Canis lupus familiaris: one gene and its partners. The protein of the gene in region 5 interacts with the protein of the main gene of each other region in a biochemical or structural test. Links are inferred from orthologs where the notes say so. Each region holds a gene or a part of one and is shown on either strand. Other genes may lie near its edges.

Region 1 (3,929 bases), on a different chromosome or scaffold from region 5:
TGGTTAAGTACCAACTATAGTTACGTTGTTTGGTGTACCTAATGTCGAAGTGTGTATAGAACATCATCTATCGCTTCTGGGAATTTAAGTTCCCAGGTAGTTTATTTTTCCTTTGCAGCATTTCTCCCCCCACCCATTGGTCCTTCAGCTCTTACTTACTTTCTTGTTCTTTATGAACTTTTGTCTTTTCAAAACTTTCCCTAACTGTACTCTTAGAGTGTTGGAATTTACCTTTCTCATTTTGTCTTAAGTATTTAAAGGAATAGATTTTAACTTTAGCCTCATGCTACACCAGTAGGTGGCAGTGGTAACACAAAATTTTCTTTGGTCTGAAACGAATATATCAAATTTCTAAATGTCAGCTCATTGTGTCATAGATTCTGTATGTTGGATCAGCCTAATAGATACTATTTTTAACAAAGACATTTTATCTTCTGAAGGAAAAGAGAGAACATCAACTAACAATTTCTGTATGTGGAATATCCCTTGTTAGCTTTGAGAATGAAGTTTTAGTTCCGCTTTTGTTAGTGACTTTTCTTTTGATCAGAAGCTCATTAAATAATGAAGTGCTTGTCAACTTATCCTAATTTTAAAAAATAATGTAGGAATTTGTTCATTTATAATAAGAATCGTGAGTTGAAATTTTCATATAGAATTCTTCACTGAACTCTTGTTCTGTTTCAGAATGTTACAAAAGAAAGACAGATGAAGTTACTACAGCAACAGAATGACATCACAGGCCTTTCCCGACAGGTGAAACATGTTATGAACTTTACAAACTGGGCAATTGCGAGTGGCAGCAGCACAGCACTACTGTACAGCAAGCGACTGGTGAGACACATAGTATATTTATGGTTTTAAATTGACTTGACATTAATATACTTATATTCAGTTAACTGCACTTTTTTAAAGTATAGATTTTGTAGTTTTGCATATGTAATCACCACTATGTTAAGATACAGAAAATTTCCATCACCCACAAAAGCTTCCTTGTTCCCTTTACTCCTGACCCTAGGCAACCATTAGTCTGATTTCTTTTATTTTCTAGAATCTCATATGAATGGAACCAGACAGTATTTATTTTCCTGAAAATACCTGGTATCATAATGCAGTTTATCACCAGAAATATCAGAAGTTCAAGCATGTGCATTTGATTGCTGATATAGATAGTCTTTTAATCGTGTACTGTCTCATCTGAGATTGACATTGTGGGGCTTGATGAGCTTTTAATGTCTTTATCATGTGTGATTTCTCAAGTGATACTTAAATTTTTAAGACTAATGTGAATTTTTTCCTTTAAGATTACTTTTCAATTGCGCCATATTTTGAAAGCACGGTGTGATCCTGTGCCTGCTGCTAATGGAGCAATTCGTTTCCATTGTGATCCCACCTTCTGGGCAAAGAATGTAGTCAATTTAGGTGAGAAATAATTAGTTTCATGAATATAACTGGGAACACTGAATTAGGAGAAAGTATCTAAAGCAAAGCTTAGATACTTAAAATTTAAATTCACTCTTACATGTAAACTTCTTGGAAAATATGTTCCTCATCGGAAACTCACTTGAGCTGTGTTCATAACATCTTTAAGAATGTTGAAAGTCTACTAATTTTAGATTTAAAAAATGTTTATCATTGCTAACTACCCCCCCATCTTTTAAAATTGATAATGACTGTTTCATGTCGAAAAGTTAGCAAATGGGCCTTTATTCTCTTGAAAGAGTTTATTAGATGCTTGGTAATTTGTATATTAGTTATACTAATTATCCACTGGAGGAGGACCTACGGGATGCTGATGTGTCTGAAAGTCAAATACTGAGGAATGTTTGAAAGCTAAGACTAGCTCTTTTCCACACGAAAGAGGAATGGACTTTACTCTGTTGCTCCTCAGTGTGGACCTGTGGACCACAGGTGAAAGTTACAGGGAGTCAAACAGCTCAATTTAAAACAAAGACCAAAAACTTCCCAATGATTAGAACTGTCTACACATTGAGTAAAGTCACTTTCAAAATAGTCAAGTCCTCACCATTGGAAGTTGTAAAAGCAGAGGTGGATAGATTTCTGTAAAAAAATAATTTTTGTGTATTTTAAAATTTTACTATAGCCTTAGATCAGGCATTAGCAAACTGTTTTTGTATGGCATGGCAGCTAAGTTTTTTGTTTTTGTTTTTTTTTTTTCACATTTTAAAGAGTTATAAAAACAAATGAAAAAAAAAAAAAAGAATATGTGACAGATCTTATGTAGCCTACAAAGCCTAAATTATCTGACTCATCAAAGGAAATGTTTGCCAATTCTGCCTTACATCAGACCTTCCTAAAATTTGTTTTCTATTCCTAGAAAACAAGAGCTCTGTGAGAGGCAAGGAAAATTGTCATTCTAGGGACATAAGTGGTTAAAACATTCCACGTTTCCACAGAAGACAGTTCTGGAGCAGTGTCATGCTCTCCCCTGCAGATTTTGGCAATTCAAAGGCAATGGCATCAGCATTAGCAATCTTAGGTTTCCTTGAATCTAGGAGAATGGATTTTGACTGACTAGATGGGCCTCTTCTGATAATATCTCTTTCATATCTTTAATTTTTTATGCATTTGTGTAAATAAAGAATAAGGGCAGGCGATATATTATTCTGAATAATCAAAAGTCAATTATTTGGCTTTGGACTGTTTCTGATCTTCATTATCTTTAAACCTAGCTTCTATCTCTGCTGAACTGTCAAAAGCTTTGAGTGCTGATAATTGTCAAAGGAAAGAGGAAAAGATAGTGACTAATCCACAAAGTAGATAATTTAATCGTTTATATGCAAATTATTCTCATTTTTTAAATCCTTCAGGTAATCTAGTAATAGAGAGTAAGCCAGCTCCTGGTTATACTCCTAATGTTGTAGTTGGGCAAGTTCCTCCAGGGACAAACCACATTAGTAAAACCCCTGGACAGATTAACTTAGCACAGCTTCGACTCCAGCACATGCAACAACAAGTATATGCACAGAAACATCAACAGTTGCAGCAGATGAGGATGCAGCAACCACCTGCACCTGTATCAACAACAACAACAACAACACAGCAGCACCCTAGACAAGCAGCCCCGCAGATGTTACAGCAACAGGTGAGTATTATATCATGCATGACATTATTGATAAAGATTATGAAGGCCTCAAGATTATACTTCTGTCCTGTACGGATGAATTTACACATTTCAAAGTTACTAGCAAGGACAAAGCTCAAATGTTAGAGTTTAAATGTTTCCTCTGGGTTTGGCAGGGATTTGGGGGAGATGGGAGGAAGGGCATTAAATACTTACATGGGAAACAAACTTGACTCTGTACTTACTATAGAGGAGCACAAATTTTTATCATATTTTTTGTTTTCCACATGTGGTTTTGGGCCAGAGAACTAGATAGTTTTTGCCTAAGATCTGGTAAGTTCTTATTTATTTAAGACAGTGATAGCGGGGAGGGTGAGAGGGAATCTGGAGTAGATTCAGTGCTGAGCACGGAGCCCCCCCCCCCCCCCCCCCCCACGGGGCTTGATCCCATGACCCTGAGATCACAACCTTAGCCTCTTAGAAATTGGGAGTCGGACGCTTAACTGACTGAACCACGCAGGCACCTTGATCTGATAAGTTCTTCAGGCATTTGCTCAAATCATTTCCATCCCTGTATCTTTCCTGATCTCCCCTTCCCCATCCAAATCAAAACCATTAATCCAGGTTTGGATAAATTAATGTTAATAAGTCTTACACACACACACCCCAAGAGAAAGAGATTGAGGCTAGAAATGGGGGAGAATGTAACTTAGACTTTTTACTTTATGCCCTTCTGTCCTAATTTTTACCATAATATTTTATAATTGAAAGATAAGTTGATAAAAAATATTATTACGTAAATGCAATTTCTACCTTTTTTAGCCTCCAAGATTGATCAGTGTGCAAA
Region 2 (4,717 bases), on a different chromosome or scaffold from region 5:
GCTGAGCCGGGCGGATCCGGCTGGGGCGGCCCGGCGAGGAGTGGGCTTCGCGCAGGCGCCGTGGCCGCCCCGGTCCCTCGGTCGCCCCCTGCAGGCCAAAGGCGGCGCTGCCGGCGCGGTCCCGTCACCGCGCCCCACACGCGGCCCTGGCAAGTTGATACAAACGCAGCTTCTGTGCCCCCGGGGCTCCTTCTTTTCAGTAGTTCCGGGATGCGCTCGGGAATTAGAAGTTTTGCCAACCCTTAGAGGTGAGGGGAGGCCATGGTCTATCCACGACAGATCTGCTCCTCCGGGCCGACTAAGCAGGTTGCCCATTTCTGTGGTACCTCCTCTAGGAGAGCATTCACCATTGTTATTACCGCACTTATTGAGCAGTTAGGACGCTTCAAGCGCTTTGCTAAGTGCTTTACATACATTTTCTCTTTATCTTCACCATAACCTTATGATTATTCCCATTTTATTAATGAGGACATTGAAACGTAGAGATGTTCGGGAATTTATTTTATTTTTTTAAAGATTTTTTTATGTATTTATTTATTCATAGAGACAGAGACAGAGAGGCGGAGGCACAGACAGGGAGCCCGACGTGGGACTCGATCCGAGGTCTCCAGGATCACGCCCTGGGCTGCAGGCGGCGCTAAACCGCTGCGCCACCGGGGCTGCCCCGCTGTTGGGGAATTTACCAAATGGTAGGTGATTATTGAGAGGCTGAGAGGGAATTAAAATTACATGCCCTCTACCTCACACCATATGCATAAAGTAACTCAAAATTGATCAAAGATCGAGATGTAAGAGCTAAAACTGTAAAACTCTTAAAAGAAAATGTGAGAATAAGTCTTCATGAACTTGGGTCAGGCAAGAGTTTTTTAGTTACAAAACCAAAAGCACAAGCAACAAAAGAAAGAAAGAGATAAATTGGACTCAACACAATAAAGAATGTTTATGCTTCAAAGTACACTATCAAGAGAGTGAGAAGACAACCTACAGAATAGGAGTATTTGCAAATCATTTATCTAATATTCAGGATATAAAAAGAATTTCTGTAACTCAACAATAAAAGAGACAATCCAGTTTTAAATGTGTTTAAGTTTTAACCATGTTTGTAGCATGGGCAAAGGATCTGAATAGACATTTCTTCAAAGAAGACATACAAATGGTTCAGAAGCATATGAAAAGATGTTCAACATCATTAGTCATTGGGGAAATGCAAATCAAAACCACCATGAGAAACCACACGCACTAGGATGGCTATAATAAAAAGACAGGTTGGGATGCCTGGGTGGCTCAGTGGTTGAGCGTCTGCCTTTGGTTCAGGGCGTGATCCCATAGTCCTGGGATCGAGTCTCACATCAGGCTTCCTGCATGGAGCCTGCTTCTCCCTCTGCCTATGTCTCTGCCTCTCTTTGTGTCTCTCATGAATGAATAAATAAAATCTTAAAAAAAAAAAAAAGTTAAACACAGAGTTTCAGTAAGACCCAGAAATTCTACTCCTAAGTATATATCCAAGAGAGTTGAAAACATATGTTCACACAAAAACTTGTACACATATGCACAACTACATTTGTACACTGGTACATATTTATTTGCATATAGTATACATAAATGTTCACTATAGCTGCAGTATTCACAATTGCCAAAAGGTTGAAACAACCTAAATGTCCATCATTAGATAAATTGATAAACTAAATATGGTACATCCTTACAATGAAATATTATTCTGTCATAAAAAAGGAGTGAAATACTGATAAATGCTACAATACGGATGAACCTTAACATTATGCTAAGTGAAAAAGTCAGACACAAAAGGCCACATATTGTATAATTCCAGTTATATGAAATGTCCAGAACAGGCAAATCCATAGGGACAGGAGTGCATGGGAAGTGACTACTAATGGATATGGGGTTAATTTTGGGGGATGAAAATCCTATAGTGGTGAAGGTTGCACAGTTTTGTGACTATACTAAAAACCACTGGGCTGGGGATCCCTGGGTGGCGCAGCGGTTTGGCGCCTGCCTTTGGCCCAGGGCGCGATCCTGGAGACCCGGGATCGAATCCCACATCGGGCTCCCGGTGCATGGAGCCTGCTTCTCCCTCTGCCTGTGTCTCTGCCTCTCTCTCTCTCTCTGTGACTATCATAAGTAAATAAATAAAAATTTAAAAAAAAACCACTGGGCTGTACACTTTTAAAGGGTGAATTTGGGGATATGTGAATTATATCTCAATAAAAAAATTTTAGGTAGTCAGTCCTTATGCGGGATGCTGAAATGTTGGTTCTGGTTCCTGGAAACCATCAAACTAATGTGGCCCTAATGATCTAATAAGCTCCTATGTCCTCTATATCATATACTTCTCCCCCAAGAAAAGTAATTTTCAAGGGTAAACCTCTAATCCAAGCCTACAGGATTCAAAAGGTCTTTACCACCCCTGCCTTCCAGGCAGGATTGGCTTCATGGGTAAGTCACCTGTGTAGTCTCACAGGGCCCTGTTCTCAGGAAGGCCTCAGGCTTGGAAAGGCCCTGCTCTTAGTCTAATGCTCTCCTATGCCTATCTTGAAGTTCTTAATTTTCCAATAAGAAGTGCTCTATTTTTATTCTACACTGAGCCCCACAAAATACAGAACTGGTCATGCACTCAGGAGAGAAGAAAATCAGGACATTGAAGGGGCTTACCTGACTGCGACAGAGGGACAACTTTTGAGATGCAAATAATCACTCATAATTTTCCATACTGTCCAGACCAGACCCAAACCAGAAACATGCTCCTTAAAGATGCAAAGATAGAAGAAGAGTCTATGAAGCCATTCACTAATATCATTACTCATGTTAGGCAAAGGAAGTAAAAGCAAGAGCAAAATGTATGGCAACCCTACCTTTGAGTGTTCACAGGTGAGACTATGAATCCTGCCAGTGACCTCCTAGATGCAAAAAGTGAGGGAGCCTAAGAACCAACTTGGGAAATTCTTACAAATCAGAGCAGGAGGTAAATTATGACATCATGTCATGACCTCATGTCAGAGGTCACAGGATGAAGGGAATAGAAGAGAGAATTTCAAAGCAGTGTTAATAATTTGGACTAGGGCAGCTCGGGTGGCTCAGCGGTTTAGCGCCGCCTTTAGCCCAGGGCCTGATCCTGGAGACCTGGGATTAAGTCCCACCTCAGACTCCCTGCATGGAGCCTGCTTCTCCCTCTACCTGTGTCTCTGCCTCTATCTCTCCCTGTGTCTCTCATGAATAAATAAATAAAATCTTAAATAATAATAATAATAATAATTTGGACTAAATATTTACAGTCCAGTTTTGAGGTCAGGATTGGATAAAGAGAGTTTTCTAATCAATTCTAGTTTTAGGGGGATCCCTGGGTGGTTCAGCGGTTTAGCGCCTGCCTTTGGCCCACAGCGTAATTCTGGAGTCCTGGGATCGAGTCCCACATCAGGCTCCCTGCATGGAGCCTGCTTCTCCCTCTGCCTGTGTCTCTGCCTCTCTCTCTTTCTCTCTGTCTCTCATGAATAAATAAATAAAATCTTTAAAAAAAAATTCTGGTTTCAGACTCAAGAAAAGCAATAGACTTTTGTGTCTTCAGTTTCATGTGCCTGTCTAGTTTTTTAAGTTGAGCTTACCCCGTGGACCCAGCGCTCCACTGTGCTAAGTACTTTACATACATTATGTCACTTATTTATTTTAGTGGGTTTTATTTTTTTATTTTTTTTTTTAGTGGGTTTTAAAAATGTTTATATATTTATTTGATAGAGAGGGTGCATGCTAGTGGGGGGAGGGGCAGAGGGAGAGAATCCTCAAGCAGACTCCTCACTGAGAGCAGAGCCTGACTTGGGGCTGGATCTCATGACCCATGAGATCATGGCCTGAGCTGAAATCAAGAGTTGGACACTCCACTGATTGAACCACCGAGGTGCTCCATGCATGATCTCATTTAAATACCCAGGACCTCATAACTGAGGCAATTTTGTCTCCCAGTTTTACAGATGAGGAAATTGGTGCACCAAGGGGTGAAGTGATTTGACCAGTGTCATACAATGGTGACATGCAGGATTAGGACCAGTTCCTCATCAGTGATTACACTCTTCTGTAAGAGAATTAGGTTTGTTGTAGCAGAAATACAGAGAGAATAAAATAGTTCCTGCCTTCAGAATTAAAGGGGAACACCCTAAGGAAGTCGGGATTAGATTTTATGACATAATGGTAGAGGGAAAGAAACTTACCTCCATTGCCTATCCCCAAGCACAGTAGGTGATGGAGCCTCAGGCCAGAAGAGAATGGGATGTGTGACCTAGAACAGAGGTCAGGGCTCACGTGTGGATAGACCATTGAGTAGAGAAGCAGGAATGAGTCAGAACATGCTGGTTAATGGAGGGACCAGCAGGCTTCTCTCAGTGACAGTCCTTGTTCCCATGCATTACTGGGGCATCCAGTGGGTGTCCAGAGACTTTGTTGAACTCATCCCACCTGCGTGATGTTAATAGTCAACTTTTCAATGGCCACCATTCGTGAGCACCTCTGAAACAAGCCTTGACACACAAATGGGTGGCAATGTGGAAGGAAAAGCCCTGCCCCAACTCTGAGGTAGTTCTGGACAGTGGTGAGCCCCACTCTAATATAGAAGAATCACTGAATTCCCACTAGCATCTTGTCATTATGTATTTGCTCACCATGCAGATCTTTAAAAGGTCTATAATCATCACATGGGAATCTGAAAAATTGG
Region 3 (3,929 bases), on a different chromosome or scaffold from region 5:
GTCCCATTGGGAGCACAGTGTGGTGATGAAGCAGGTAAGTTCTGGACTCAGGCCCTGCCACATACTGTTATGTGACTGACCTCCTGTCCCCCCAGGTTCCTTACAGTAACTGAGAGGGCTGCTGTGATGATAAAGGGATAACGTATACAGAGTGCTGGCACAGGATCTGGCACACGATGCTCAGTAAGTAGTTGGAGCTATTATACACAGTTATTTCTCCGTGTAGCTATAGCATCTAGATCAGAGACAAGCCTGAGATGCTAGGAGTCTAGTGCTAGTAAAAAGCAGCACACAATCTGGTATCTTTGTGAGAGAGCTAGAATTAAATAGGCCAGGGAGAGAAAGCCTTTCTCTCATAATTTACAGTAAAACAGATAACAAAGCACTTTTATCATTTATGGAAATTGATTCCTAAAGGATGCCTGCTGCATTACTGCAATTGTGCAGTAGGATTTTACCTACATGAAAAAGACACTTCTACCTTTGGGAAATTTACTTGAGAAACAGTAATATAATGTTCAACCTAATACAAATATCAACCTTCCTGAATCAATATTCAACCCTATACCAACATTCCTTTCTCTCTTTATATACTCTAATGATTCTTCTGAACACTGTCAAATTTAATGAAGTGTACCTAACTCCTACTGCCGTCTCTATTTATAGCCTGCAGTTATTTTTGAACAGAGCTGCTGGGCACAAATACCAAATGAGTCCAGTGGAAACTTCGATTTAAGAGCAAAATCGTAAGACACTGAGTCAGAGGTTCAGATAGAAGGTGCTATTAAATTTTCTTGCCCAAAGTCACCTAGAAAACCCAAGCAGTCTTTTTTCAGATGGGTTTCAGGGAGAAACATTCAGCAGCGTCATGAACTAAGTTTTAGCCTCTACTATCATTCCAAAGGCCATCTAAACAGGGGTCTAGCTTCACTGAGGTCAAGGAGGTAATCAGTGAAATTTAAGGTTAGAAGTAAAAGCAGAATAACAGACAGGATGGCCCCATACACTGTTCAACAGATTGTCTGACTGAGCTGGAGGATAGGGGGAAAAAAGACACACATATGCACGCATGATCCCAGTCCCTCTGCCATTCCTAAGTAGCAGCAATCCATGCAACTGTACATAAGAAAACATGCCCCACAGAGTACATGTTGCTCACATGTTGCTCATATCTGGCAGCTCGCAAGGACACTTGCAACAGATAAATGAAGGGTCCCTCATTTCAGATCTTAGGGTGGGTGAGCTTGATGACTTATCTTTAATTTGTTGTTTGTGTTTCTGACAAATGATTACACATAAGTTTTCCTCCAAACTTACCAGGCAACAACAATGAAGATTTTCCTATATGCCACTTTTCCCCATGATAAAGTCCTAATACCTCGGTACATGCAAGTTCCCCACATCTTGATTCTCCAGGCTGTCCCATCTGACCCTATCCTGTTTAGATTCCAAGCACGCCCCTAAATGAGGGCTTATAAAAGTTAGTTCCTAAGCACCTATGCACTATGCACATGCAGGGGTAAGACTCCATTCCTCTGATACCTGGACCCAAACTGGACACAAGAAAACTCATCACCACCACCACCACCTTCATCATCACCATCATCATCATCATCATCATCTTCTTCATCTTCATCACTACTGTCGCCAGAAAGTGCGAGGAAGAGGAAGGAGAAAGGATTGTCGTACATACTACCACAACAAAAGCAAAAAAGGTCATCAGGGAACAAAGGAAAAACAAGAGGTGGAAAAGCTTTTGTAACTGCTGTCTCTTTTTAATTAAATGTTATGCTAAAAGTTCTAATTATTGACATGCAGAAAAATAATTCACCTCAATGACAAAAATGCACAGGTACATTGCAGAGGGGAGGCAGGGGCGGCCCTGGGTTAGTAGAATTCTGCTACTGCTTCTTTCTAAGAGGCTCAAATCAAAGGGTCAAGGCACAAACACTGGTCCATCCCCAGTGATCAGAGGTAAGGGACAAGGGCCCAGACCCACTCCCACCACCCTTTGGGCTGACTGCATTTTGACTCTGATTGACAACAATACAAAGAGCTGAAGAGTGCTCCTGTGAGCTCCAACTCTCAAATACAAACTGCCCACAGCCTCTGGAATTCATTTGTAATAAAGAATGACACATGAACTAGATTTCACAAAATGAAGTGACTTTTTTTTTTTTTTTTGTACAGGAAGGAGGAAGAGTGAGGGGTAAGAACAGAGTAAGGGACACACAGCGGAACACCCACACGTTCTACTGTTATCGAAGCCTGGCAGAAGCATGGACTCGGGGCACAAGCCTACCAAACTAGTTAGACACACAGGTTAATAACCCAAACAGAAAAACACATGTAACTGAGGTCAGCGTCACACACCAGGTTCTTCCAAACAGAGTTAATCGCCTCTCCCTGCACTGCAAACTCACACCCAGCTCTCCTGCTGAATAAATACCTAGGAGAGATCCTTAGGGATGAGGGACGTCTGCTCACGGCACTGGGTGAGGCGGCCACTGAAGGGGGCCCCAGGCTGCTGGGTCTCTGTCTGAGAGAGCTGGCAGGAACCGCTTGAGGGCTACTAGCAAGGGCAGGGAGGCTGGGCGAGCTGGACAGAATGGAGATGCCTGGGGATCGCGGGGTAGGAGAAGTCGAAGACCCCCACGGGTGGGTGACAGTGTAGGGGCGATACCGTGGAGAGGAGGGCTGGCTTCCTGTGGCAGTTCCAGAGGCCATGCCACCATGCGGGCTGAGGGAAATGGAGGGCACAACCATCTGGCCAGCCACACGGGCAGGGGGGGAGGCAAAGGATGGACTCATCACTGGCACCGAGCTCCAGAAACTTGTACTGGGAGCTGGGCTAGTTTCATAGAGGCTAAATCAGTGGAGAAAGAGAGGAAAGAAGAGAAAAATGAAGAAAAACTTGAGGTAAATATCTAAAACGGAAAATATCAAGCTTTTAAAGAACAGCACAATGACACTTCGTATCTCTAAGCATTCAAGTGTACAAATCTTTCAGATACTCATCAAACTAGTTATAATCTAATTACCATAGTGATCTAGAGGCTGCATTTACAGTATGAGAAAGCCATCTTTCCAAAGAATAATGTACTGTATACAGTCATTTGTTTCTAAAATTTACTGAAAGCCAAACCATGGGAAGCCAAACAAACCAATCTGGAAAAGACAAGACCTTCAGCCATGACTAGAGGCACCCACCCAGAAAGAACACATACCACAACCTGACAAAGGCCTGTGAGCCAGCAGTCCCTTCTCTTACATAATTCATGGCTGTTTTACTACCAAATAGATGTGCAAAAGGAACCGCACTAACCTAGAGAAAGAGCTGGCACCAAAGGAACCCACACCACAGAACATGGGGCTTGTTCCTGGGTTAGAGCCAGTAGTGAGCATTAGATTCCTGTCTGGTGACCGAGCTGCTGCTGCAATTGGCTGTGATGTGGCTGTCAGACTGGCAAATGGATTTTCATCTCTAGTCTGCGTAGACATCATTAGCACTTCCATTAAAATCTGGCCAATCAAGTCCTTAAAATCAGAGAACACTGTTGGAAAGGGAGAATAAAGAAGAGGTTACACATGGTTCTTTATATACATAGTTCTTGAATCAGCCAAGTTGAACCAGAGGTTCAATGGGGTATCTGGATTGGATTCTGGAACAGTAAAAAGACATTAATAGAAAACCTGGGGGCCCCTGAGTGGCTCAGCGGTTCAGCATCTGGGCATGATCCTGGAGTCCCAAGATTGAGTCCTGCATTGGGCTCCCTGCATGGAGCCTGCTTCTTCCTCACCCTCTGCCTCTGCCTCTATGTCTCTCTCATGAATAAATAAAATAAAATCTTAAAAAAAAAAAAAAAAAAAAGGAAAAGAAAACCTGGTGAAATCCACATGAACTCTGAGCTCAGGTTATGGTAATATCT
Region 4 (3,835 bases), on a different chromosome or scaffold from region 5:
TCACAGTTATAATTTCAGTAGTTTAAGAAAGAACTGCCTGGCAAATACTGTAAAAGAGGTAAATGTTAAGGACAAAACTATTTCAGGCACAAGGGACTTAAATCCTAGAGTGGGAACTCTAAAGATAGAAACAGCTGTGTGAATGCAACGTATTATCTAAAAGTGAATGAAATAACAGTAAGGTTGTCATACTGCTTCTTCTAATACTTTTATCGGGTTTTTCTCCACTATCTGGGAAGAAACAAAGGCCAAGTTGTAGTAGTTCCCTGGAAAATTTTAAGTCAAGATTTTGCTTAGACAAAAGTGGCAGTGAAACACTCTAGGTTGTTACTTGGAATCTAATCAACGCCATCAAAGCCTTGAGTGTTCTCAATTGCCATCTGCAGTTTATCCCATAATTCTTCAAATGATTCATAGGGTGGCAAGTCCAAGCGATTAAAGCTGAAAGAACAGAGAGGACCTGGTTACGACAGACATTGACAAAGCAAGTGCCATGGTGGCCAATGATAATGCTATTCGTGATGTGTTCAACAATACTAGAAGGCATTTTATCACCAGAGGAGAAGGAAGATACAGTACTGGGCTCTAGGCATGGACTCATCCCATGACGTCTTGGTGCTGTCCTCTCTCACTCCCACTTTGACCTCCAAATGTCTGGGTTCCTCTGTTAATTTAACCTCCCAAAGGGTATGTTCTAGCTTCTCTTGGGATGACCCATCATTCATGTGATGGTGGGCCACACATGGTCCATGGGTGAGATGGGCCTCTCCACTGTTCAGTTTCCTGGTCTCCAAGCCCAGGCCTGCCAGGCAAAGACATACCTGATCTGCATTGTTTCTGCCTTCTTCTCCCCCTCCTCCATAGCTGCCACTGACACAGAGCAGGCTAGACCTTCTGTACCCAGACTGTTAGAGGAGCTTCACTCTCTGAAAACGTGTTCTCTAAGGGTCGAAAAAACTGCTTACCATGTATGGGCTCTTGGCAGCTTTTCCGGGGTACCCCACTGTTCAACTGTAAATGACTGTGGTCCATTTGAGCCTGCAAAGAAAAGAGTTGCTTTGGTCTCATTTATTCTTTATAGGAATCCCTAAAATTTCACAACTCATTTTTTCCAGTGTAGAACTTAAACATACTGATCTATGAACATACTACTAATAGTGAACATACTACTAATGAACATACATACTAATCTTAAACCTACTAATCTAGTTTCTTTAAACTCACAGAAGGCTGTGGTGTCCTTGATGGCTTCATTTTCCAGCCACGAGATGAAGCTTCCTTCCTAGCAACTCACGCATGGTCACCATATCACTGGGCCTCTAGGGTACCAGAGCTCTAGGACTTTTGCTGTGTGCTAGCCCTGTGTCTCCACATGACCATCTCCTTCACAGGTACACAGAGAAAATAAATATTTTCTTTTTTTTTTCCAGTCCTGCTGAAAATAGCTTTATTTTTTTCTGATTATCTAGTCTCAGTGCAAGGAAATTAAAGCAATAGGGAAAAAATAATGAAGGGAGTAAAAATCACCTCAAAGTCCACTCTCAAATCTGAGTAAACCTTCTATCATGGATCATTGTGTGTGTGTATAAATGGAATTTTGTGTGAAGGTAAGCATGTGATCCATGCTGCATTTTTCTTTTATTATGGACACTTTCAGAAACTTTCTTTTCTTTTCTTTTTTTCAGAAACTTTTTTCTTTGAAGTTTGCACTTAGTTCTCCCTTCCCTCCAGTCTCAACATCCTCCAATCACTCAGGTAATCAGTGCTGACAACCCAATGCAGAACCTTCTATACTTTTCCCCATGTCTTATAGTCATACCTAATTATGTGTGTGAGTATAACTGCCAGAAGCAGCACTAAATATACTGGATATTCTTGATATTACAGTTTTCTCAAAAAGCATTGTTTTTCACACATCACACATCATAATTACGTTCAGTTAAAATTTCAGTATTCTTGTCATGGTTTTCCATAATATGGGATCGTACATATTTCCCTGCCTCTTGACTCTCTCACCTAAATAATCCATTGTGAACACTCCCTTTAAGTCAACTAAGACACCCTTTTATTGAATAGATAATACTGTATTATAATATTAACAGCTTGAAGTGACTTCTTTTTGAAAATGCATAAGAATTTGAATTATATTCTAATACTACCAAGTCTGGCCCCATGTGTGGGATATTTCCCCCAAATTCCAAACAATTCATGAAACCAATGGATGGCTGTAGGCCCGGACTGCATAAAAGGAGGACGTGGAGCTAGACATGGAAAGGGGTGTTCAGCCTGCCTTGATCTTTCCCTACTGTAACTGGCTAAAATATGGGAGAAGAAAAGGAGAGGAAGTCACAGGAAACCACTGAAAAGACAAATGCAAAGAAATCCAGTTGGGCAAGCAGGGGCACATTTATTAGGGCACAGCTCCTATCTCATTCTTCTCACTGAGCATGGTGACTCTAGGTGAGGAAGCAACAGCTGCTTGACAGGTGCTGCAAACAGATACACATGGAACTTAAGGAGATCAGGTTTGGGATCCCTGGGTGGCGCAGCGGTTTGGCGCCTGCCTTTGGCCCAGGGCGCGATCCTGGAGACCTGGGATCGAGTCCCACGTCGGGCTCCCGGTGCATGGAGCCTGCTTCTCCCTCTGCCTGTGTCTCTGCCTCTCTCTCTCTGTGTGTGACTATCATAAATAAATAAAAAATAAAAAAAAAAAAAAAAAGGAGATCAGGTTTGCCAAGGAGATGGACGGGGCTGGTGATCCCGTCAGACAGCAGCAGCTTTCTCTTTGCATGAAAAATTCAGCTCAGCAACTACTGAGGCTGCAGTTCTGACTTGTAGTTTCCAGAACAATTCTAAACTTTGCTGTTGCTCTGAGCAGGGCTCCAACCTGAGCTACACCTTCCCTGAAAGATGTATTCCTCTTAGTATCTTTAAAAGCAAGTAAATGTCATTCCAACAAATAGCTGATTTGAGAAAAGTTGATCCATATCAGAAACAGCAGGTTTGTTTGTTTCTTTCAAAACACACCTCTAAATATATCCACTAGAAAACAGTTTGATAGGATATGCAGAATTTCACTTTATAGAAAGCTCCATTAATAGTAACTATTCTGAATATTGAAAGATATGTAGTCTTGTCCCTAGTCCTGCACATACACAAACATCATACACACACACCACACGCATGCGCGCACGTGCGCGCGCACACACATATACATCTTCCATGATCAAATAAGTTTTGAAACCCCTTTTTTTCATAGTAAAGGTTCTGAATGTATTTTCCTCAAATGTATTCTACTATGGAACTCTGTTTCCTGCTGAATACTTACTAACATTCTGTGGGACGTTACATGTTGCCCTAAACCATCACCCCACAGACAATGCTCTTTCTGTGATGGAATATGTAGCAGGAATCAAATTTAAAATTCAAGAATGGAAAGTAACTCGAGGCATTTCATGTTTTATCCTTTGGTATCTGATTAGAAGGTGTACATATATTCTGGCCTACTTCAGTGTATCTCAGTAAATCATTTAAAACCCTTAATTCTTTTTTATTAAGCCCAGTGTTTGTATAAATGAAAGAAGCTTGACAACTAATCAGCAATAAAAAAGACAAGTGGCATCACTCCATTTTTTAATGATCTGCAGCAAATTCTTACCATAGAGTTCAGCAAATCCATTCATAGGCACTCGAGATGTACCAGTGACAAACTGAAGTAATCTTATTCTTTTTTCTGAATCCATCATTAGAACAGCCTGAATAAGAGAAAAACAGCATTTAGGTACATCCCTAGGAAAAAAAGTAACAGAACTATCTTAAAAAATATGTTATCAGA
Region 5 (4,473 bases):
AGTACCTGACACATGACAAGTGTTGCATAAACATTACCTATATTTATGATTACTCTTACATGTTTGTTTCACATTCTGGCCAGTTAATGTCTGACTGGTTAGATTAAGAACTTATGTTTATCAAGTATTATAGTCTACAGTGCCCTTTCACATACATTATGACACCTGAACTATACCACAAACCTGTAAAAAAAAAAAGGCTGCTATTATTATGTATAGTTCAGTGTAGGAAGAAACTAAGATGGTAAGCAACCACACAGTATCACACCAACGAGAATAGAGCAAGAACTCAAACCTGGATTTCACCCTCCACCCCAACTGCCTAATTCTGTGTTTCTACTCAAGTAGACCGGTTAAATCAGAGAACAAAGATTATTCTAGGAGAAGGGAAACAGGCTATGTGATGAGCACTTTAGTACTCTGCTATTCACGGGGCTGTACTCTGACCAGAATCATCTGTACCACCTGGGAGTTTGTTAAAACTGTGAAATCTCATGCTCCACCAAGGCCTACTACATCAAAATCTACATTCTGAACAAAATCCTTAGCTGATTCACAGAGATACTAGCTTGAGCAGGGTTTCACCAATTGCTCGAGTGACACTCCTCCTGACCACGTAAGCGGTATACATTAGCCCATTCATCACAGACCTACTTTAGCTTTTATTAGGTAATACTTTATTGTAACCAGAAATTGCTGCTTTTCTTTTTTTTTTAAACTATATTTTAAAAACAAGTTAATTTTCCTCTTTGATTCTTTAAAATATCCACTTCGTTAAGTCAGGAAATGTTCGAAAACTTTAAGCAGGTCAGCGCTTACCTTTAATCCTTTTAAAAATTACTGTCGTACCACCCCTTTGCCTGAAGGATACCCTAGAGAGCCAAACCACCTTCTCCATTATTTTACACCCGGCAGATTAAACAGGCCAATTCTGCTCTTCCCTTTCTGCCCGCCCCCGGATGTTTCAGTTAAGTAATACGTTTTTCTGACCCAAAACTCTGATCTTTTGAGTTTTGCAACTCTGTGGACCTAGAAGTTGAAACACGGCAAGAGGAAGAAGGAGGTGTTAAGTCTCTTCCCGTACCTCAATCCTGGCGGATGGTGACAGGCAAATAGCCTGCCCCTATTTCCCTACCCTCCACGTTAATCCATAGTTGAATCTGATGCCTAGACGACTGCGACTGGGAGGGGCTCTAGGAGGCCCCCTTTCCTCAGTACGGACCCTCTAGGTCAGAAACGCGCTGTGTCTCGGCACGTGAGAGCGCTCATCAGCGGTCCGCTCGGTTCTATTTACAACGAGTGTTGCACTTTGAGGGGTGCCTCCTCCCCCTGGTTAACGAGCCCGCACGGGCAGGCGAGTGCGGATATATTGCTCACCTGCTCCACCGAAATCTCGGAAGGCCCGGATCAACCTGGACTAAAGGTACCCGGTGATTAGCCCGTGGCACCTCCCGCCGCACATTCCTGATTGGGCGCGTGAGGGACGGACGCGCCGGCGCGCGCTCCAACCCGTCCGGGGAATTCCAGTTCCCCTCCCTCCCACCAGCAGAAGCATCCAGGGGCGGTGCTTCCCGACGACGGCCCGCCCCTACTCCAGCCGGTGCCTATTGCATCTCGCGAGAACTTGTAGATTCGGGGGGCGGGCCCCCAACAGGAAGAGCTCACGCAACTGCCCTTAAGTCATTGCAGGGCTATCGCTCCGGCTAGCCAGCCACGAGGTTCTCGCGAGATCCGCCGCCTCAATACCAAGTGAGGAAACTGGGGGACGCTGCTGGGAGGGGCGTGGGTCTCGACCGCGCAGCTGCCGCTTCCATTACCTTCCTCCCATGGTCTCCTTCCGGTTCTCGATGCTTCTCTGAGTCTGAGGGTTTCCGCCGCTCGTCCACCCTCCCCCCCCCCCCAGCCCATGACCCGCCTCCGGCCCCCGCCCTCCCAGTCCAACCTCCGATCTGTTTAGTAAGAAGGTGCTGTTCCGAAAAGAAGGAAGAGGGGGTAGCACAGATCAACTCGGTCCCGGACGTAGGAAGTAAACCGTCCCCCCGTCCCCCTTCGCTTCGTCCTGTGCTCGCGACGGCGGCGTTGGCGGACTGATACGCGGCGGTGAAGAGGCAGGAGGAGGGGGGAGGGGCGGAGCGTGGCAGCTGGCAGTAGTTCCGTCAGAGCGGACATCTTGTGGCTGTGTCGTGCGCGTGAGCCCCGTAGGGCCGGGGAGGCACCAGCTGCCGCGCGGGGAGGAGGCCGAGGCCGCAGCTTGAGGGAGGCCCCGGCCCCTCTGTACGCGTGGGTGTGGACGGCTAGGGGAAGGGAAGGGAGGCCGGCCCCCTGGCCGGCCGGGTAAGAGGGGAGATCCGGGCCTCGGGTGGCTGGAGTGACCAGCCTGTTGGGTGGGGTAGGGTGGGAAGGCTGGGGAAGCCGGGGCCTCGCCTGCCCAAGGGGGTGGGGGAATGGGCGCGTCCTCGCGCCCGAGCCGGAGCCTCAGGGGCAGCTCGGGCGCGTGGTGGCGGTGGCGGGGCGGGCGCGTGCGGGAGCGCGCTGGAAGGCGGAGTGTACGGTGGCGTCAGGGCCGACAGAATAGCTCTGGCTGCGGGGACGGCAACCTACAGCAAGTCTCTTTATTATTTCCTTCTCCTTCCGGGCCGCACCTTTGAGCAGAAACCGAAAGAACCCCGGCGTCAGTCCGGAGCCTCCAGTCTTCCCCCTCCCCCCTAGCCTTTCTTCGCCCTAGTGACGCCGGCGCAGCGCCGACTAGGCCCCGGCTCCTCCTCTGCTGGGCTCCGGACCCTGCCCCGCACCCACCCCTTTCTCCTACGCCTCTTCCTCTCCCACCCGGGTCTCTTTCGAGAGGCCGGGAAGTCAAACTTGTAGCCGCCCCCTCCGCTCTTCCCGTCACCCTCGCCGCCTCTCCGGGCCGAAGCACGGCATAGAGGCTGTTGGTGGCTTTGCCACGCCACCCCACCCACCCCGGATCGCGACCGTTTTAAGGGACCTGGATTCATCAGGGTCTCTCCGGGGCCTGTGCGAGTGCTGATCTGCTCCGTTTTTGCAAAAGGCGCCTGTGTCTGGCAGAGCCGGTGTGAGACGAAGAGAGACAATCCTTCCCTGCCGCCCGGGTAATCAAGAGTTTTGGCCGGACCTTTGAGCACACACCGAGAGAGTGAGGAGCCAGACGAAAAGCACAGACTATGGCGCTGAAACGGATTAATAAGGTAACCCACGGGGCTGAAGGGAAGGGGGTCGTGGGAGGAAACGAAGGCTCGGTCTCGGAGGAAAGCGTGGGGGTGGGGAGGAAGTATAATTAGGAAAACGTCTTTCCTTGGGTCACTTCTGTGGGGGGGGGGGGGATGGGAAAGAAAGGAGGCTTAAAGCTAGAGAACAGAACACTTGTGGCGAATGAGCTGTTTATCTTGAGTATGTTTCAGTTGGAGTCGGCCCAAATGAGGGGTGGGGGAGAGTGATTTTAGGCGCTTGGGTTTTGCTGCTAAAAAGAGTTTTTTAGTCTTGTTTGAGGGTCAGAATTGCCCAGAGACGCTCCCGCAGATGTCATGGCGCTCCCTAGTCTCGGTGCTTGAGAACTTTGGCTGTAAGATCAAGGTTTTCGGGTTTTCTAGGGGGAAGAGTCGTAGGAAACTCCTAGGGGAGGTGATAGAAATCTGGCGGGTCCTGAACCTAATTGGGGGTCGGTGTAGAAGTCTCTTGGCGGCTGAAGAGTAGTGACTGAACCTAGTTAAACTTCATCGACTCTGAGCAGGTTACACAAGAATAAGTGGGGCTGGGAAGAGATGGGCTGACACGATGTTACCACTTCCTATGTTTTGTAGTTGAGACTTCTCACTCGAATTTATAAGAGGGACGCTGCGAACTGGTGTAAAAGGCTTCTGGAAGCTCCCTTCTTTTGACTGGGGGGTGGGGGGGTGGGCGGTACGGGTGTGATGGCAGTAAGGGAAGGTTTGGTGTACCTATCTTTGTCTCGGCTGATTTTATAACACTTTCGGAGATGATTGGCTACTTGAAACGTGGTTTGATAGAAACTATTGATAGATAGAAGTTGAAAGAAATACGTTTTTTCGAGCCTGGGGGGGGCGCCGGGTGAGCGGAACCTTCACCTCCGGTGGTTTAGTCTCATTTTCTTGCTCTAACTTCTATCCCGCATTTTAAGATGGCGGCTGCTTTAACTGGTTCAGGCTTTTTCCGGCATCTCCTTTCGTCATTATATGAAATAATATTCTTTGTTAAATGTTAACTTTTACATCAGATTGTACACAGCTCTTGAGACGTCCTGCTGAAGACTCGATGTTCAAACTCTCAAACTGCATTTCCCTTTTTTGTAACTTGTGTATGTGTGGTGTATTTGGTTCTTGCACAATCGAGGAGGGTGGAGTATTTACAGCTAACTTGAAAAAAATGTCATGGAATAAATTCAGCCTTACTAAAAAACTAGGGAGACCGAGGGGGCTGTGGGTTAGAAACTTCGGT
Region 6 (4,470 bases), on a different chromosome or scaffold from region 5:
TTTTTTTTTTCAGTGTCACTTTTGAAGCTTAAATCTACGCACATAAAAAAGCCACACCATAACCAAGGCCTAGTTTAGATCTAGTAAGCACACCATTTGGAAAAAAGTGACCTGGGATAGATCCTATTCTTGGATTTACTGATACTTCGAAATAGGAAACTTAACAAGGAATAAATATTTATATATTCAGGAATTCCATTTAAGAGCATCCTTAACAAGAAGTCAGCTAGAAAAAAAGACAGTTTTCAAAAATCAGGCATGGACACCTAAATAAACCCCTGGTATTTTGTGTTTCTTAAATAGTTCAGTTCATCTGCATTTATTCTCTCTCCTCTAAACTAACAAAGAAAGAATGATGTCATATGCATTAGCTACATCTCCGTTCCAGAAGTGACATAAGGAATTTTAAGGTTTAGCCTCAGTGCTTAAGATACACCTAAGAGCTGAGAAAGTTGGATGAGATTTACTACATGAAAACAAACAGTAAGTCAAATAAATTCATTATCCACGAATTTTTAAAACCTAATTAACGTCAAAAAACTAGGTAAGTGTGAAAAGATCAGATTTTACATACTGTAGTGGTAAATAAACGGAAAGAGAATTCAAGGTTTACTCTCAATTCTTTTAATAAAGTTTCCTCAAAAAAAAGTCTCAACTTAGTGGCTTAAGAACTGTCATACTTTTAGAATCCAAAAAAAAAGAACAATAAACTTAATCTTCCTTCTATGTCCCTTCAATTTCCTCCTCAGACTGCAGTATCCATATGAAAGTTTGAGACGTCCACGGTCTACTAGTACCACTATATATCACAGGTTTTTTTTTTTTTTACTATTATTTACCATTTACTTTTTTTTTTTTTTTACTATTATTCAGAGGAGCCTAAATAGATGGCACAATTGGAAGTGCTGCTTACTAGACAATACTGTAAAAATCTGTTAATCATCCCAACTGAACAAGTAGGCAGTGACATACTACTGCCAATTTGCCAGTGAATATTAGTCAACTGATTTTTAAGAAAAAAAAAAAAAAGGAATGACTGACATACAAGAAGCTAATAGTAACTAGCTTCTGTATATAGTTTCCTCACATGTAACTAGTGTTTTCTAAAAGTTGCACTGAATCAAGACGTCATTTTCATTCTACAGTTGTATCCCTCATCATAACTGGATTCCTCCCCCAATCCCCCCAACCAAATGTAAACTTTGGACTTCCTCAAGCTGAGAAATGCAAAACCGGACTCACGATGTTACGTGAGTTGTGGTCATCAACTTGGACCAAGCCTAACTCTCCAAGAAATTCGAAAAAAAAAAAAAATTATCAAGAAAGGAGTTCAGAAGCAGAAAGCCCCTACTTTCTAACTCACAATAGAGCCTAATATCAGACAGTACGCTGCGTTTTGTTTTAGCCGCAAGGCTGGGTATGCAATCTGCAGGGACTCTCCCGACGGCTTCGAGTAAGTGACACGCTACCCCTGGAAAAAGTAGCATTAGGTCCCAAACAAACAGCGAAGGCATTTAAAAAAAGAGAGAGAGAGAGAGAGAGAAGAGCAGAAGCCTCACCATCGTAAAAGAAGGCCCATCAGCACCTCTTCCGAGAAACAGTTCCCTTCCCCCACCTTTAAGTAGGCACTTAAGACTGCCAAGCAGATCCATTTCTTTATTAACTGGTGCCCACTTGGGGCAACCGTACACCAAGCGGCTCTTAGGCCTACTCCAACCCCTTCCAAAAGTGCTCAAGCGAGACTTGGAAGGCCGGGGTAACCCCCGTAGGGGCCGCGTTTTCCTGCTCTCCTCCACCCCCGCCCTCCGGCCCGGCCCGGCCCGGCCCGGCCCGGCCCGGCCCGCCCCGCCCCTGTGGGCGCTCCTCCGGCCGGGGGAAGGACACCGGGCCCGGGGACCCGCAGGGATCGCCCTCCAGCCCGCAGGACGAGCGCTGGGCGGCCCGAGGCCTCCGCCATCGCAGGACCCGGAAAGCGCCGCCCCCAGCGCACCTCCCCACGCCCGGCGAACCGGCGAATGTCTGCTTTCGACACCCTCCGTGCCCAGCAGAGGCGGCGGGGGAGACAGGCCCGGGAGGCGGCGGGCTGGGCTGCGCACCAGGCCCGGGCCTGCCCCGCGGGCCGCCGGGTCCGCTCCCCGGTCGGGTCAAGCCAGCGCGGCGGGCACCCTCACCTGGATGACCTCGTTGACCTCCCGGATACATTCCACCATGTGCTGCAGAATCTGCTCGGCCGTGAGCACCTCGTAGCGGTAGTCCTCCTCCTGCTCGTGCCCCGGCCCGCCGCCGCCGCCGCCGCCGCCGCCGCCGCCGCCGCCGGGCCCCAGCGCGCTGCCGCCGCCGCCGCCCGTCTCCCCGCACAGCAGTCCGTCCCGCTCCCCGCCGACGCCCAGCCCGGGCTCCACCAGCTCCACCTCGCCCAGGTCCAGGTTGTCGTCGTCCGGCTCATCGTCGTCCTCGTCCTCCTCCTCCTCGGCGCCGCTGTCCTCCTCGCTGCACTCCTCGTCCTCGTCGAACTCGTAGTTGTAGCCCTCGTCCGAGTCCATGGCGCGACGCGCGAGGGCCCGGCGGACGCGGCCCTGAGGCGGGGAGAGGGCGGGGACGCCGAGGCCCCGGCTCTCGCTCCGGCTCCGGCTGAGGTCCGGACGCAGGCCTGGCTCCGGCCCCGCGGGCCGCGGCTCCTCCCCGGGCGCGGCGGCGGGCGGCGGGCGGCGGGCGGCGGGCGGCGGCGGCGGCGGCGGCGGGGAGGGCGCGGAGGCGGGAGGGACGGAGCGAGGGGGCTGCTCGCCGCCCGCCTCAGTCAGACGCGGCTCCGCTCCGGCCTCCGAGAGAAAACAGTCCCCAGCGCCACCTCCACGGCCGCTGCTACCGCTACTGAGCCAACAAAGGGGCGTGCGTCACCGCGTCGCGCTGCGTCGTCGCGTCACTCCTCTTGGCGTCACCGCGCCCCGCCCCGCCGCCCCTGCGTGGCGAGCGGGGAGACCCCACGGCCCGGCCTGGCCCCGGGAGCGCGGCGCCGCGGGAATCGCCGGCCCGGTTCCGGCCGCGGCCGCCCCCGAGGGCGGGGCGGGGGGCGGGGCGTGCTCCTGAGAAGGCCCCCGGGCCGGGTGGCGGGTTTTGCCGCAGGCGGGAGGGGTCCAGCCCCGCTCGCTGAATCCAGCCGCGCCACAGACGCTGCCCGCCCGCCCGCCCGCCCCGGAGTCCTTCGGGGAAGTCCGCGGCTGTTGAGCTAAAATTGCCGTTGCCCGAGCTGCTAAATGGAAATCGGTTTCATGCGCAACCTGTGACCTGGGACAGGTGAACCCCCACCCCACTCCCCCCCCCCCTTTCTGAGTAGTTCTGCTTCCGTGCACCCGTACGGATGAGCGAGCGGGGGCTCTGAAGTCGCTGACAGTGACGTCATCTCAGAGGAGGGTTTCCTGACCTCATCGCAGTAGGCACCTGCCTATCCAGGACCCTAAGCGATGTAAACAGTCGGGGCTTTCCTTAACCGAGCGCCGTGCGAGGGCTCAGCCATTCCCTCTGCCTTCTTCGCGGAGCCACAGGACGCGGCCCTCGCGTGTCTGAGGCTCCAGAGGGAAAGGGGCTTGACCGAGGCCACGGAACGCGCCCTGCTTCAGCGGCGGGGTGACCTAGAACGTCAATCGTGGAAACGCTTTATAATGCATGACACAGACCAGGTGCTACACAGTGTATAAAATGCATCGCAATGTAACCCAAGACAAGCAGGAATGGAAGTAACTGCACGGACCGAATGCAGCAGCGAGGCAGTGCTGGCCTCTTATCTAGAAAGGTGTTGTTGTGTCTTCTGCGTGTCGATTGGCGGCCAGGAGTTTAACCGGGGAGGTAGGAGGAGGATCTGGCCTGAGAGAATAACAGAAGCAAAAGCACAGCAGGGGTAAAGTAGTTTCGTTGCAGCAGCTTATAGTGCAGGGAGGGGGGTAAAGGGGAAAACAACAGGCAAGTTAGGGACCAGCACAGTAAGAGTGTTGTTGTTTTTTTTTTTTAAGATTTTATTTATTAAAAAAATAAAAAATAAAAAAAAGATTTTATTTATTGATTGATGAGAGACACACACAGAGAGAGAGGCAGAGACACAGGCAGAGGAAGGAGCAGGCTCCATGCAGGGAGCCCGACGTGGGACTCGATCCTGGGTCTCCAGGGTCAAGCCCTGGGCCGAAGGCAGGTGCTAAAACGCTGAGCCACCCAGGGATCCCAGTAAGAGTGTTTTATGCAATTCTAAGAGTGGACTTAAATCTTTGTAAGAAAGACAGGAGAACCAGAGAAGTGTCCTGAAGGAGGAAGAGGCAGGCCTGAGAAAGCACTCTCTTGCGATACTCTCAAGGATTGGGCAGACTGGACATTTTTAAAAATCTAAATCCCTGGACACCTGGGTGGCTCAGAGGTTTGGCGCCTGCCTTCAGCTCAGGGCGTGACCCCGGGGTCCCCGGATCCCCGGTGTGTCCCACAGAG
Region 7 (4,434 bases), on a different chromosome or scaffold from region 5:
AAATCTCAGTGTCAAGCATACCCCCTCTTTGACCCCTTCCTATCTCTCCAGCTTCTTTTATCCCCCTGCATCTAAGTAGGTGGCTGGAGAAGTACCCACATCCTTGCTGCCTGGCCTCACTTTAAATTTCTGATCACGGAACTCTAGTGCCTGCAAGGCTACTGCATTCGACTGATCGTTCGTTCTCTACTCTCTCCTTCACAAATCTTCTCCCAGATCTTTTCCCTGACCTCGCCCTCAGCTAAGGTCCCTCCTTATCATTTCCCTGAGGTTCAGTTGCATCATCTTGTGTCTCTGAGTAGCATTGGGCAACACCGATCATTGCCTTCTTGTCGAAACACTTTGTCTCTTGGGCCTCTGAGATACCATACTCTCCTGGTTTTCCTCCGCAGCATCCTCTAGATTCCAAATGTTTAAGTGACCCTGAAGTCTGTCCTCAGCTGTCCTCTCCCCTCTATCTACACTCATTACCTAGGTGTGAGTGTAGCTAGTCTGATGGCTTCATACGTTATCTCTATCTCAGTGATTCCTAGTTTAAATCCCTAGCCTGAGTGATCCTGTCTTTCTGAAGCTGCAGACTCATATATCCAAATGCTGACTGACGTCTCTAATTTGAAGGTGTCGTTGGCAATTTCACACGTCCAAAACACATTTACTTCTCCCTACTCTGACCAAAATCTGTTCTTCCCAATCTCCCCCCATATTTATGACTGAAACCCCATTCATCCAGTTGCACGTTCCAAAAACCTTGCAGTTACCCTTTCCCTCTCACCTCACATCCAATCCATCTGCAAATCTCTCCGTTCTACTTGAAAAAAAAAAAAAATCCCTACTCTGATCATTCCCCCCTCCCCCTCCTTCCTGACCATACTAGTTAAGGTCACCATTGGGTATTATTTAGACTCCTATAATCTCTTCCTAACTAGCATTCCTCTGATTAAGACCTCCTTATGTCATTTCGTTTTCTGCTCAAACGTCCCTCTTTAGAAGACTTCATGACCGCATTGGCATCCCCATCACTCTCTACCCCTTCCTCTGCTCTATTTTTCTTGTGTTGTTCCCCCCCCAACCCTTCCTGCCTGAGCCAGTATTTTAGTGCGTTTGTTATATATCTATCCACTAAAAGATTAACTTGGGGAGAACAGGGGCCCTCTATATCGTTGTATGCCCAATTCCTACAACAGTGCCTGGCACACAGGAAGCTCTTTGAAAAATAGGTGTTGGATGAATGACCTGCCAAAGGCAAGGGGTGCAAATAAATGCATATCCAATAGCTTTCCATGGGCATCTGCTCCCCCCTACCCCACATTCCCCCGCCTCCACTCTTTTCATCCCTAGGGAGACAGGCGACACTTCCTGAGGTTGGGGGAAGGGCCCCTCAGTTTCCTTCGTCCTCCCACCTCGTGGGGGAGTCAAGACTCAGTGGGCGGTGAGCGGCCAGACGTCCCTCTCTATGGTCTTACTCTCCAGGCCCCTCCTCCCTAGCACCCGGCGTGCCTCTATGGTTCTTCCTGTCATTAGTCGGGAGGGGGCGCTGTGCGCAGGCGCGGGGTGAAGTCGCGGCGGGGCCGGAAGGAGTGCAGCGGCGGCCTCGGCGGCGGCGGCAACGAAGCTGTCGGCGGCCGCTTCTGGTGACTAAAAGCTGTGGCGACAGAAGCCGCCGAGCCCGCTTGGCGAGCCGGCGAGCTGAGTGGCGAGTAAGTGTCGGCCGCGGGGCGCGCCCAGCTCCTCGGCAGGCCGCGTGAGGCGAGTGGCGTCTCAGCCCAGCGCCTCCATTAAGCCCCAGGGTGGGGGCGGGGGCGGGGGCGGGGGCCTCGGCTGTGAGGGGCGGCGGGGCCGCGGAGTCGGGGGCGCGGGCCTGGCCCGGCGGCCTCCCGCAGGCGAGCGGGCCCGGAGCCGCGCGGGGCCCCGCCGAGGGCCGGGCGGCGCGAGCAGCGGGGCTGGCGGTGAGGCGGGAGCCACAAAGGCGGCGGCGGCGGCTGGCGGACGCTCCCCCGCGCCCGCCACTTCGGGAAGTTTCGCGGGCCGGTCCCTCGGCCTGCTGCGCGAGGGCGAACGCGCCGAAAGACCCGAGTTTCCCGGCGGCACCTCGCGGGAGGCGGCGTCGGTGGAGCCGAGCGCGGCCTGGAGCGCGCGGGCGGTGATGCACTGGGACTCTGAACTCCGGCGTCCCCCTTCACCCCCCCACCCCCCCGGGGCCCAGGGGCGTCGGGCCTCAGTCCCCAACCCTCCCGACTCGGTTCAGGAGCGCCGTCTTGTCGGGAAAGCCGGCGGCTCCCACCCAGCCCTCGTGAAGACATGCAAGTGCGTCAAAACCCTCTGCAGCGCGGGGAAGGCGAACCCGACAAATGTGCCTGGAGCGCCGCGCAGTGAACGAGACCGGCGTTCCCGCGTGGGACGTGGCTGGAGACTGCGTGGAACGACGGTCTCAAAACTTTGGGCCACTTCAGTCCTGTGCGAGACCCCCCCCCCCCCGTCTCGCCCACCGGCGCCCCCCCCCCCCCCCCCCCCCCCCCCCAGTGCCTGCGTTGTGATAAGTGCCCGGGTATGGCTTGTCCATCCAAGTCACTTTGCTAATGCAAAGAGAAGATTTTTTTTTACCCTGCAGGGAACTGGGAGAAGACAGGGAAGATTTTAGGACCGACCTCAATTTTAGCACGCTTGCCTGAAAAAAGACTGCCAAGAAACAGCCTTGCTTTGTTCTATTTGTTGTATAGGTAATTTATTGGGGCTCGGGGTACAGACTGGTGTGAAACTGAGGAAATCGCTGGAGAACTGGAGCCAGATTTGGGATCTCCCCCCTTAAACCTAAATAGAGGCTAGCGGGCAGCAAGTTTTTTTTTTTTTTTTTTTTTTTTTTTAAACCTGCCTTCCAGCCCGAATGGAGAAATCTAATAAAGGAAGTTGAAATTTGAGTCAAGAAGACTGAAAGTTTATGAAATAGGGTCGATGAGAGCACCTGAGTTTGCTGACCCTGATGGCTTCTATTTAATGAGTAGTTGCTATATTCTAGGCTGTGTTAAGGTCTTTTCAGACCTCATAACTAATTCTCATAGCTGGCAATATTTTACTTTTCTTGTCAGTAAGACAAACATGATGCTAGTAACTATGCTAGGTATTGTTCTAAGCATTTTTTAATGTAATAACTCCTCTAATCTTCAGTAATGGGGGTTCCGTTATTATTTTAAAAGGAAGAAAACGAGGTACTGAAAAATAAGTAGTCAAAAAACTCCCACAGAGCTGGGACTTGAATTCAGTTTGGTTCCATAGCTCATGCTCCTCCTACTAATTACTTTGCCATCCCTGTAGATGATATTTATTCGAAAAGTTCTTCTGGAGTATTTACTTTGTGCCAAGCAGTATGTCCTGCGGCTAATGGAATGAATAAGATGTCGGGTCCTCCATCCTTGGAACTTGTTTTAGCAGATAGCTATTTAATGTAGCTTTCTAAGTATTTGTAGATTATTATTGTGCCAAGTACTTTGAAAGATTGAGATATATTGTGTGAGTGAACAATGGGGATGGTTAGGTGTTTCTTTTTTTTTTTTCTTTTTTTTTTTTAAGATTTATTTATTTATGATAGACATAGAGAGAGAGGCAGGTTCCATGCTGGGAGCCCGACGCACGAGACTCGATCCTGGGACTCCAGGATCGCGCCCTGGGCCAAAGGCAGGCGCTAAACTGCTGAGCCACCCAGGGATCCTCCTGGTTAGGTATTTTTGAGGAAGTGATATTTAAGATAAGAAACTCAAAGATGAATGGAGTTAATTTGGTCAGAAAGAGGCAGTGAAAAATAATCAGCCAGCCAGAGGTAAGAGGAAGGAGCATGGCCCGTTCAAGGCCCTGAAAGAATGGTGAATGGAGGAGAGGTGTATGGTGAGGCTAGCTATGTCAGCAATGGTCCTACGAGGCAGCGTTTCACAGGCCACGAAATTTTGGTTCTATGACGAAATCTTATGATTTAAAAGAAACAGCACCTCAGTGCCAAATGAAAATAAGTGGGAGAGTAGAACCTATAGGCACTTTTGGGGTGGCAGGGGCAGCTTATCATGAATTCACAGAGGATTCACCTCTAAAAAGATTGAAAACCATGATCCCCCCCTTGTGAATAAGGATGTGCTTGCTTATTTCAGTTTCTGAACCAATTTTCGGTTGACATTTGAGGAAAATCATAAGGTTATATGTTAAACTCTTTAACCTACCTAGTGAAGATTCTGAGTTTAATTTTTGGGTTAAAACCCTTCCCATTGTGGGCAGCCCGGGTGGCTCAGCAGTTTAGTGCCGCCTTCAGCCCAGGGTGTGATCCTGGAGACCTGTGCCTATCTCTCTCTCTCTCCTCTCTCTCTCTCTCTCTCTCTCTCTCTCTCTTTCTCTCTTTCTCTCGAATAAATAAACACAATCTTTAAAAAAAAAAAAAAACTTTCCCATTGTAAA

Evidence for each region.
Region 1: the proteins of UBE2D3 (region 5) and TRIM33 form a complex in vitro, tested with the Homo sapiens proteins (2 studies listed by BioGRID). The link is inferred for Canis lupus familiaris from reciprocal best matches to the Homo sapiens genes UBE2D3 and TRIM33.
Region 2: the proteins of UBE2D3 (region 5) and RNF14 form a complex in vitro, tested with the Homo sapiens proteins (2 studies listed by BioGRID, with this or other methods). The link is inferred for Canis lupus familiaris from reciprocal best matches to the Homo sapiens genes UBE2D3 and RNF14.
Region 3: the proteins of UBE2D3 (region 5) and UBE4B form a complex in vitro, tested with the Homo sapiens proteins (5 studies listed by BioGRID and IntAct, with this or other methods). The link is inferred for Canis lupus familiaris from reciprocal best matches to the Homo sapiens genes UBE2D3 and UBE4B.
Region 4: the proteins of UBE2D3 (region 5) and NEDD4 form a complex in vitro, tested with the Homo sapiens proteins (17 studies listed by BioGRID and IntAct, with this or other methods). The link is inferred for Canis lupus familiaris from reciprocal best matches to the Homo sapiens genes UBE2D3 and NEDD4.
Region 6: the proteins of UBE2D3 (region 5) and ARIH1 form a complex in vitro, tested with the Homo sapiens proteins (2 studies listed by BioGRID). The link is inferred for Canis lupus familiaris from reciprocal best matches to the Homo sapiens genes UBE2D3 and ARIH1.
Region 7: the proteins of UBE2D3 (region 5) and RNF216 form a complex in vitro, tested with the Homo sapiens proteins (2 studies listed by BioGRID). The link is inferred for Canis lupus familiaris from reciprocal best matches to the Homo sapiens genes UBE2D3 and RNF216.

The regions. Positions count from the first base shown.
Region 1 is NC_049238.1:52,669,584-52,673,512, reverse strand, and holds part of TRIM33 (E3 ubiquitin-protein ligase TRIM33), read left to right. Parts: intron 1-684; coding exon 685-831; intron 832-1,301; coding exon 1,302-1,419; intron 1,420-2,828; coding exon 2,829-3,103; intron 3,104-3,904; coding exon 3,905-3,929. UniProt on the Homo sapiens protein: Acts as an E3 ubiquitin-protein ligase. Promotes SMAD4 ubiquitination, nuclear exclusion and degradation via the ubiquitin proteasome pathway. According to PubMed:16751102, does not promote a decrease in the level of endogenous SMAD4.
Region 2 is NC_049223.1:36,055,042-36,059,758, reverse strand, and holds the start of RNF14 (E3 ubiquitin-protein ligase RNF14), read right to left. Parts: upstream 2,975-4,717; 5' UTR 2,871-2,974; intron 2,763-2,870; exon of another isoform or gene 2,671-2,762; intron 22-2,670; exon of another isoform or gene 1-21. UniProt on the Homo sapiens protein: E3 ubiquitin-protein ligase that plays a key role in the RNF14-RNF25 translation quality control pathway, a pathway that takes place when a ribosome has stalled during translation, and which promotes ubiquitination and degradation of translation factors on stalled ribosomes.
Region 3 is NC_049226.1:63,773,127-63,777,055, reverse strand, and holds part of UBE4B (ubiquitin conjugation factor E4 B), read right to left. Parts: intron 3,555-3,929; coding exon 3,326-3,554; intron 2,867-3,325; coding exon 2,450-2,866; intron 1,805-2,449; exon of another isoform or gene 1,693-1,804; coding exon 1,543-1,692; exon of another isoform or gene 1,518-1,542; intron 184-1,517; exon of another isoform or gene 96-183; intron 1-95. UniProt on the Homo sapiens protein: Ubiquitin-protein ligase that probably functions as an E3 ligase in conjunction with specific E1 and E2 ligases. May also function as an E4 ligase mediating the assembly of polyubiquitin chains on substrates ubiquitinated by another E3 ubiquitin ligase.
Region 4 is NC_049251.1:21,436,167-21,440,001, forward strand, and holds part of NEDD4 (E3 ubiquitin-protein ligase NEDD4), read right to left. Parts: intron 3,756-3,835; coding exon 3,659-3,755; intron 1,039-3,658; coding exon 966-1,038; intron 442-965; coding exon 339-441; 3' UTR 1-338. UniProt on the Homo sapiens protein: E3 ubiquitin-protein ligase which accepts ubiquitin from an E2 ubiquitin-conjugating enzyme in the form of a thioester and then directly transfers the ubiquitin to targeted substrates. Specifically ubiquitinates 'Lys-63' in target proteins.
Region 5 is NC_049253.1:15,659,205-15,663,677, forward strand, and holds the start of UBE2D3 (ubiquitin-conjugating enzyme E2 D3), read left to right. Parts: upstream 1-1,586; 5' UTR 1,587-1,749; exon of another isoform or gene 1,750-1,788; intron 1,789-1,898; exon of another isoform or gene 1,899-2,108; intron 2,109-2,116; exon of another isoform or gene 2,117-2,334; intron 2,335-3,049; 5' UTR 3,050-3,182; coding exon 3,183-3,206; intron 3,207-3,936; exon of another isoform or gene 3,937-4,333; intron 4,334-4,473. UniProt on the Homo sapiens protein: Accepts ubiquitin from the E1 complex and catalyzes its covalent attachment to other proteins. In vitro catalyzes 'Lys-11'-, as well as 'Lys-48'-linked polyubiquitination.
Region 6 is NC_049251.1:36,366,368-36,370,837, reverse strand, and holds the start of ARIH1 (E3 ubiquitin-protein ligase ARIH1), read right to left. Parts: upstream 2,868-4,470; 5' UTR 2,544-2,867; coding exon 2,172-2,543; intron 1-2,171. UniProt on the Homo sapiens protein: E3 ubiquitin-protein ligase, which catalyzes ubiquitination of target proteins together with ubiquitin-conjugating enzyme E2 UBE2L3.
Region 7 is NC_049227.1:12,342,439-12,346,872, forward strand, and holds the start of RNF216 (E3 ubiquitin-protein ligase RNF216), read left to right. Parts: upstream 1-1,535; 5' UTR 1,536-1,697; intron 1,698-4,434.